2 linked regions of the Chlamydomonas reinhardtii genome follow. The protein of the gene in region 1 binds, or shares a complex with, the protein of each later gene. Each region holds a gene or a part of one and is shown on either strand. Other genes may lie near its edges. The genes, in order: CHLRE_10g422600v5 and CHLRE_10g450400v5. A codon is read from its position in the direction of its gene.

The links.
Region 2: the proteins of CHLRE_10g422600v5 (region 1) and CHLRE_10g450400v5 are in contact, whole or in part, in a cryo-EM structure (PDB 9F5X), measured with the Chlamydomonas reinhardtii proteins. Residues at the interface, in XP_001702590.1 of Chlamydomonas reinhardtii: Asp58, Glu59, Arg61, Phe63, Gln64, Asn65, Ile66, Tyr67, Arg69, His70, Met78, Ser79, Arg80, Gly81, Tyr84, Met85, Glu88, Ile89, Lys92, Trp96, Gln100, Tyr133, Glu142, Pro143, Gly144, Thr145, Cys146, Arg149, Glu150, Arg153; in XP_001698508.1 of Chlamydomonas reinhardtii: Thr42 (codon at 1,385), Arg79 (codon at 1,604), Tyr80 (codon at 1,607), Pro81 (codon at 1,610), Tyr84 (codon at 1,619), Gln86 (codon at 1,625), Ser87 (codon at 1,628), Ile89 (codon at 1,634), Ile90 (codon at 1,637), Pro91 (codon at 1,640), Asp94 (codon at 1,649), Val95 (codon at 1,652), Glu125 (codon at 1,742), Val126 (codon at 1,745), Phe129 (codon at 1,754), Tyr130 (codon at 1,757), Thr131 (codon at 1,760), Met132 (codon at 1,763), Phe133 (codon at 1,766), Gly147 (codon at 1,808), Thr148 (codon at 1,811), Thr149 (codon at 1,814), Pro150 (codon at 1,817), Arg152 (codon at 1,823), Leu153 (codon at 2,233), Gln154 (codon at 2,236), Glu184 (codon at 2,326), Met185 (codon at 2,329), Glu186 (codon at 2,332), Cys187 (codon at 2,335).

Annotation. Positions count from the first base shown.
Region 1 is NC_057013.1:715,149-718,840, forward strand, and holds the end of CHLRE_10g422600v5 (uncharacterized protein), read right to left. Parts: intron 3,525-3,692; coding exon 3,430-3,524; intron 3,265-3,429; coding exon 3,099-3,264; intron 2,868-3,098; coding exon 2,791-2,867; intron 2,529-2,790; coding exon 2,436-2,528; intron 2,163-2,435; coding exon 2,043-2,162; intron 1,730-2,042; coding exon 1,625-1,729; intron 1,347-1,624; coding exon 1,263-1,346; 3' UTR 660-1,262; downstream 1-659. Other genes in the region: CHLRE_10g422550v5 (uncharacterized protein), read right to left, coding at 1-400. UniProt on the Arabidopsis thaliana protein: Core subunit of the mitochondrial membrane respiratory chain NADH dehydrogenase (Complex I) that is believed to belong to the minimal assembly required for catalysis. Complex I functions in the transfer of electrons from NADH to the respiratory chain.
Region 2 is NC_057013.1:4,250,981-4,255,213, reverse strand, and holds CHLRE_10g450400v5 (uncharacterized protein), read left to right. Parts: upstream 1-1,183; 5' UTR 1,184-1,261; coding exon 1,262-1,462; intron 1,463-1,570; coding exon 1,571-1,824; intron 1,825-2,231; coding exon 2,232-2,388; intron 2,389-2,694; coding exon 2,695-2,790; intron 2,791-2,978; coding exon 2,979-3,119; 3' UTR 3,120-3,738; downstream 3,739-4,233. Other genes in the region: CHLRE_10g450350v5 (uncharacterized protein), read left to right, coding at 3,998-4,196. UniProt on the Arabidopsis thaliana protein: Core subunit of the mitochondrial membrane respiratory chain NADH dehydrogenase (Complex I) that is believed to belong to the minimal assembly required for catalysis. Complex I functions in the transfer of electrons from NADH to the respiratory chain.

The sequences.
Region 1 (3,692 bases):
TGCCCCAGCAGCAGCCGGCCTCCAGCAGCGTTTCGCACGCCGCCACGTCGCCTGCAGCCGCAGCCGCCGCCATCACCTCGGCACGCAGGCTGCAGCCACAGTACGACAGCGCGGCCGCCAGGCTGGGGGCATGGCCGCTGCCGGCAGCCAGGCACAGCAGCTTCCGCCGCTGCAGTACGCGGAGCCCCCGCCAGGGCCACTCCGAACGGCCCCAGTAAAGCAGGAAAGCTTGTGCCGGCCAGGGTTCACCATCTGTCAGGCGAATGGTCTCATAGGTGCTGTGCAGGTTGCGGTAGGTGGCCCAGTCGACGAATTTGAGACATCCCGCCACTTCGCCGGGCGGCAAGTGGCTCGCGACCTCCAGCTGCAGCTCCGGCGTTAGTAGCGACCACTGGTCCATACTATACTATATTTTAATCGTTAAGACGCAGTAGATTGCGCGGTACTGACGTTCGAATTATAACGCGCGGTTCAGTGCTGGTGCAGCCTTTCTCAATGCTTAGGCTCAAGGCTTAGGCAGAAGTCCATGAACGGTCAAAGCCGATGAACTGGGACTGAAAAGGCTAGGTCGCTGGCGTAGTGGCGTAGGGTTTGGGGATCGTACCGGACCAGGTGTCGGGACTCCGGGAGGAACCAAGCAACCACCTCAGCACCTAGCAATCTATGAACCTTTACATGGCTATCCTCAAGCCACACTGCCGTCGCACTATACCCTGCTGCAATCTGTGTTGCCTCACGCTCATACCGACACAATCAGCCGCGGCCGGCTCGTGAAGCCATGCCGCCCGCATGCTTCAGTACACTAACTCGCCTTACACGCATGCCGGCATGCGCAAGCATTAAAGTCTACCTACAGTCACGACAAGCTACTACATTTGATCTCGTTGTTAAGCCACGCACCCATTGAAGGCGTTCGCCACAAACGCAACACCCCCACCCAGTGTGGTGCCTACACGCACCAACCCATCTCTTCTCCCACCTCCCACCTTGAGATGCGCTTCGTCCCCACCACGACTGCCAGGCAGGCGCTTGCACCGTCCCTGCTGCGCCACTGCACCGTCAGGCCGACACGGCCGATATGCCCACCGCACCCACCCACCAACGCCCGACGAAGGCCGCTACGCACATGCCTCCGTCGCCACTTTGCCGCTCATCCCCAACCGCTTCCACTCCCGCTGCTCTTGCCCGCCACACACGGCCCAAGCTCCATCGCCCTGAAACCGAGTCCACGTCTGCTGATCAGGAAGCAGAACTGCGCGGCTTTACGCGGTCGCGGCAAGCTTCTTCTTGCCGCCGGCGCTCTTGATGCGCTCCTCCATCTCGCCACGGAAGTGGCGGATCAGGCCCTGAATGGGGGAGCAGGGAGACATAGCAGTGAGCACACGGAGACAAACACGCGCGGTGAGAGCGAGTGCGCAGGAGACCACACGTGTGAAGTTAGGGCAGGAGGAGCCAAGCGCAGGTTAGCCGGCATGCGCGACCGCACAACATGGCCCGCCCGCCTCGTACAACACTCGGGACGTGCCTCGCTCCCACAACCCGCCTCGCCACCGCCCGATGATATGGCATTCCACAGATCGCAGCCGACCCCTGCTCCCGACCCGGCCTCCTCCAGCAGCCGCACCTGCACGGGCCACGCCGCGGCGTCGCCCAGCGCGCAGATGGTGTGTCCCTCGATCTGCTTGGTGATCTCCCACAGCATGTCGATCTCCTCCAGGCGGGCGTCACCCTGGAGACACGCACACCAGGGTGCACGACGCATGTACACATACTCAGGTGGTGGAAAGAGCAAACAGCATTCAGGGCGCATGCATGTGCACCATTAGGGAACGTGTGCAATGTAGCACCCCCTGGCGCGCACTTCCCTGCACTGTACTTGATAGTAGCACCCCTGCCTACACATACAGAGGTGCGCACGCAGGAGCCCCACAGGACCAGCCGCAGGAAGGCCCGCAGGACCCCCGCACATGCCCCCTCGCTCCCACCCCCCTCGCTCCCACCCCCCCTCGCTCCCACCCCCCCCTCCAGCACGCCGCTCCCACCTTCTTCATGCGCGTCATGATGTCGTACAGCCAGCCGGTGCCCTCGCGGCAGGGCGTGCACTGGCCGCACGACTCGTGCTTGTAGAAGTAGGACAGGCGCGCGATGGCGTCGATCACGTCCTGCGGCCGTGTGCGTGTGTGCGTGTATGCGGCGGGCGGACAGTCAGGTTCGAGGTGCGGCAGCAACAAACTGCACTGCACGCCCTGTCACCACAAACAAGCCACCGTAGATACTGCAGAGAGGGCCAAAGCAAGCCTTCAACTTGGCCACAGACGGCGCCTTCACGTTCCCCCACGCCCCACAGCCCCAACAGCGCCTCCCCAGCCCCTCCCGCCAGCAGTACAGTAACTCCGCATCCCTCCACATCCGTCCACATCCCACACGGCACTCACGGTGGACTTGTCCATGACGATGACGGCGGCGGTGCCCAGGCCCGACTGCGCCTCCTTGAGCGCGTCGAAGTCCATCAGCACGCCGTCGCAGATCTGGGGGGGGGGGGCGGGGGTTACAATCATGACGAATCAAGAAAAAGCGGAGTTGTAGCCAGGCACCCGGGCAGGGAGCGCAGGAGGAGGGGCATGTGGAGGGAGCGCGAGGTACAGCACCTAAGCGCGTCCAGGCGTCCTACGACCCCTTTCTGTGTACCGTAATCATACCCCTTGTTGTGTACCGTAGTCTTACGGAAACCCCCCTCCGCCCATGCAACCACGGCCGCCGCCAGCCCCAACGCGGCCGCGGCCTCCTCACCTTCTTGGGCAGCAGCGGCACGGAGCTGCCTCCGGGGATGATGGCCAGCAGGTTGTCCCAGCCGCCGCGCACACCGCCTGCAGGCGGGAGAGGAGGCGGTGGCCACCCATGGGCGGGTGGGTGCGTGGGTGGAAGGAGCGCCAGAGCGTTGGGCGAATGCCGCGACCGGACACACCCCGGCCACCAGCAGCAGTCCAGCACCATGGTCGGCGACAAACGAAATCACACACACCTTCCCTTCGTGCATCCTACACGCAACATGCAACGTAAACCGCCACCTCCGGCATCCTCCCTGCCCCTCCTCTCACCCGCGTGGCGCTCGATGAGCTCCTTGAGCGGAATGGACATCTCCTCCTCCACCGTCACCGGCCGGTTCACGTGGCCGCTGATGCAGAACAGCTTGGTGCCGGCGTTGTTCTTGCGGCCAAAAGAGCTGAACCACTCGGGGCCGCGGCGCAGAATGGTGGGGCTCACCTGCAAAAATGTCCCAGGCCACGCAGCACATGCACACGCGCATTGAGGACATTTTTCGCCCTGGGCGGGGGCACTCGCAACCTCGCCTTTCCCTCATGATGCATACTCGCAGGCAACCTACCAGCAGCATCCCGCATGCCCCGGCTCCCTGCTTCCCCCACTCACCGCAACGGTCTCCACATTGGTCACGGTGGTGGGGCAGCCGTACAGGCCCACACCCGCGGGGAACGGGGGCTTGAGGCGGGGCTTGCCCTGCTTGCCTGTGGGGAACAGGACAAGGCGGCGGCGGCGGCGGCGGAGTGCACCACACAGACACATAGCGGTTGACAAACAGTACAGCCACAGCCACCACAACCGAGCCTGCGGCAGATCAATAACGCTCGCGCACGTCCTGCCCCATGCTTCGCCGGTCAGCTCCCCACCTCCCG
Region 2 (4,233 bases), about 3.5 Mb from region 1:
TCTTTGAACGTGTGTGTATGTGTGTGGGGTGGGGGGTGGGGGGGCTCGGGTTTTGGTTGGCAGTGGGTGCAGGGGGGGATAATCTGTTGGCAGCCGCTGCACTGGCTGCAGTGTTGGCAGGGGAAGCACTTCTTAAGCATGAGGTGGCAAGGGAACATGGGCAGGGGGCTTCGTGACGTCGGGCAGAGTGAAGGACATACGCAGCAGTGAAAGCTGAGCCAGGAGTGTCCACTGTACACGTTGCATCGAACGTGTAGGGGGGGGATTGAGTTTGCTAACACCTGCGCGATCGAGAGTTGCGCAAGCAAACCTTGGCCTTGGACCGTGTGCTGGACAGGACACTGCACGCAACCACCTTCGCAATACAGGAAAAGGTAATAGTCACGATGAGCTCTGACAGTGGCGCGGGTCTTCCGCACGACCTGACACGACCCGGCCGACGAGCGTTTGCTGGTCGTGCGTGAGCAAATACCTCTTAGTCCTGCCTTTTACCTTGTGACAATACGACACAATGTCTCAAGGGGTGATAGCGCCAGCGGCAGCGCCCCGTCGACGAGCGCTGACGAGCGCTGCTGGCGCACAGGTCAGCTGTCAGTATTCACTGTCACCGCGCGCCTCCGCGCGTGAATCAAGACTTGCGCTTGCAGCGGGTTGATTGTTGAGCAAGCGGGTTGAGTGACCGACCGCACATGCGTGCGTTATCCACGCTGAACTGCCACGGAACCCTCGCGGCCTGTCCCTGCCTGCAAGGGCGCGTTCTTACTTCTTACCCTTATCACGCCTATCGCCTCACGTCAGAGGGCGGATCCGCGCACTAGAGGAGCAAACAGGGCGCCCGACGCAGCTCCTCTATGCTGCGATGCAGGGCGCCTTGTTTGCTCCTCCAGGGCGCGGATCCGCCCCCCGGACCTCCCCGCACACGGCCCTTGCCGGCCTTCGCAGCTTCGCCTGCTCATCGCACGCTGCACGCCGACACATGTCGCTCCTGTCTTGGTGCCGATATCATGCTTTTCGAACTCTTCACCATTGTGGCAATGCACTGCCCCGCTGTCGTCAATAGCGGGGAAGGGGGAGGGTGAGAAGCGGCTGGCCGTGGCCGCGCGGGTACGGCGTGCCGATTCCGGCGACCGGTCGTGCCACGATGCCACTTTGCCGCCAGGTCGCACAGGTGTGTTAACGTAGTCTAGGTGCATAGGGGCTTGCAAGAGCTTGACTAGTGCCGGCCAAGGCGACTCAGGAGAGGCACCAATTTCGCGACAAAATGCTGTCTAGGGCCCTGCTCCTCGCAGGGCGCCTCGCCGCGACTGGCCAGCAGCAGGCAGCTAGCACCTCGTCTCGCGCTGTCCAGCCGCTAGGCTCGCTGCTGCAGCGGTGCAACTTTGCCACCAACTCGACCGATATCTTCAACATTCACAAGGACACGCCAGAGAACAATGCTGCGACCAGCTTTGAGTTTAGCGAGGCAAGCGAAAGAGAGGCGTGGAAGGGCTGTCAGGCACACACAGAAGGAAACGCGTGCATCAGCCCAACACTCTCTACCTGCTTGACCTGGTGCGCACCGTGCATGCAGGCTACTCTGAAAGTTGTCAACGATATCATCGCGCGGTACCCGCCGAACTACAAGCAGAGCGCCATCATTCCGGTGCTGGACGTCACGCAGCAGGAGAACGGCGGGTGGCTGAGCCTCGCGGCCATGAACCGTGTGGCTAAGCTGCTGGACATGGCGCCCATCCGCGTGTATGAAGTGGCCACCTTCTACACCATGTTCAACCGCACGAAAATTGGCAAGTACCACGTGCAGATTTGCGGCACCACTCCTTGCAGGTAAGCAAAGGGTGTCGCCTCCCAGTGGAGGGGCTGCTGGGTTAGCCGGGCACAGCGGCGGCGGTGCAGGGCCACGTCGAGGAAGGTGAAGGGGGAGGAGGGAAGGCGGGCGTGGAGGGAGACAGAGCACGGGGACTGGGTTCGTCCGGCACGCGGGGCGTGCGGTGTCGCCTACGAACAGCGGGGTCTGCAGCGCCATCCACAGGCGTGCCGGAGCGCTGGCATGCCGGGGCCCCAACCATATTCGGCCTTCACGGCTGGACTCCGGACGCCCGTGCCAGTGGGCCCTTGCCCAGCCCCCGCGACTGCATACGCACATGCGCATCGCGTCGCCCAACCCCACTCACCCGGAACCTGGGCTTCCCTCCATCTGCGCCTCTCATTCTTAAACACACACACGTACACAGGCTGCAGGGCTCCCAGAAGATTGAGGAGGCCATCACCAAGCACCTCGGCATCGGCATCGGCCAGACCACGCAGGACGGGCTGTTCACACTGGGCGAGATGGAGTGCATGGGCGCTTGCGTGAACGCGCCCATGGTGGCCATCGCCGACTACACCAAGGTGCGGAGGAGCGTTGGAGCGCGTGGGAGTGCGGGGTGTTGGGTGTGCGGGATAGCGAGGGGTAGCGACGCTAGGGGCTGAGGTTGCAGCGCAGTACGGTATGTGCTCGTTTAGGTTTATGGAGTAGTGTACGTCGCGCGTGGGAGCGGCTGGGCGCGTGCTATAGCCAGGATTTGTCGGCTGGCCGTCATTGCACAACCGGCCTGCCCCGCCCATTCAGTGCGCGAGTCTTATCGTAAACCGCTGCTGCCAACGCGCCCCTTGTGTGCTTGCATCTAAACTACCACTGCTGCCGCACGGCTGCAGGGTGTGTCGGGCTTTGAGTACATCTACTACGAGGACCTGACGCCCAAGGACATTGTCAACATCCTGGACACCATCAAGAAGGGAGGCAAGCCCAAGGTGCGCGGGCGGGGGAGATGAGGGGCCGCAACCGGGCATGAGCGCGGGGCGCCCGCACAGGTCTGCGGTGCGTGCACTGTGGGGATGGAGGCTCGCGACACGGGTCGCATTGCGGCCGGGTGCATTGCCCTGCACACCCGCAACCCTCCAACGACCGCTTCGCTGCCCCTTTTCCTGCCTCATCGCAGCCTGGGTCTCAGTACCGCTTGAAGGCGGAGCCCGCCGGCGCCGTGCACGGCGGCGAGAAGTGGGTGCCCAAGGACGGCGAGACCACGCTGACGGGGGCACCCCGCGCGCCCTACTGCCGTGACCTGAACGCCACCGCGTAATCGGCCGTGCTCGTGGCGGTGGAAGATATGGCAAGCGTGCGGGCGTGCTGTGGGATGCAGCGTGTCTGGAGCGGCGGAGGGCGGGCCAAAATGGTCCATGGTGTGGGTGTGGAGGTCGTGGTGGCGGTATGCGACGGCAGCTCTTACGGATGGCAGGGTGCGCTGGGCGCTCAGGTGCCACATTGGCGGAGTGCCGCAGGAGGTGTGGCTCTTGCAGAAGGGCAGTGGCTTATGTCTGACTAGAATTTAGCTTAGAATGGACTTGAGGGGTATGTGTGAGGAGCTTTTACGTATGTGTGGGGCTTTATGTGGATACGTGCGTGGACGCAAGCAGGAAGAACATGTGACTAGCTTTGTACGGGCATGCCGGCGCAGGGTTGCCGCCTTGCAGGAAAAGCTTCGACTTTGTACGGGCATGGCGGCGCAGGGCTGACGCCTTGCAGAAAAAGCTTCGACTTGAATGGAGGCCACACGATTTCCTTTCCGCTCTGGTCTACGTACGCATTAGTTCCGCAACGCACGTCGACAACGATTGCCTTGGAACGCCAGCGAGGCTGGGCGAGCACGGTGGTGCGCGTCTGGGCCTGCAGCATTCCCATATGCAGCTTGGGTCATATCATAGTCTTGTTCGTGTGCGCCGGTCGGGTCAGGGGTAAATCCAAGCGGCATCTTGCGCCACGGCGCCAAGGGGGGAGGGGGGGACTGCACGATCGTGCAGGCCTCGGCTGGAAGACTCCATGCACACCCAGACTGGCGTTGCTATCATACCATAGCTTAGCTACTTGGCTCTATCAAGTTTTACGTTGTTGACACTCGGCAATACCAGCCTCGAAGCCATTTGAACCTCTGCAGAACTTGACTGACCGCCTAGCAGCACAATGAAGGACTATGCGAGAGAGGAAAATGGAGGTCTCGTTGTCATGGCCTCGTGTAGCGATGAGCGCTTCCCTCCGGAAAACATGCTGGACGGGAAGGACAACACCTTCTGGGTAACCACCGGCATGTTCCCGCAAGAGTTCGTGCTCAGACTGGAGTCTTGCATTCGGGTGTCTAAGATCACGACGTTGTCACTAAACGGTAGGTCGTCTCAGGGGGCGCGGTGCACACATGCCGA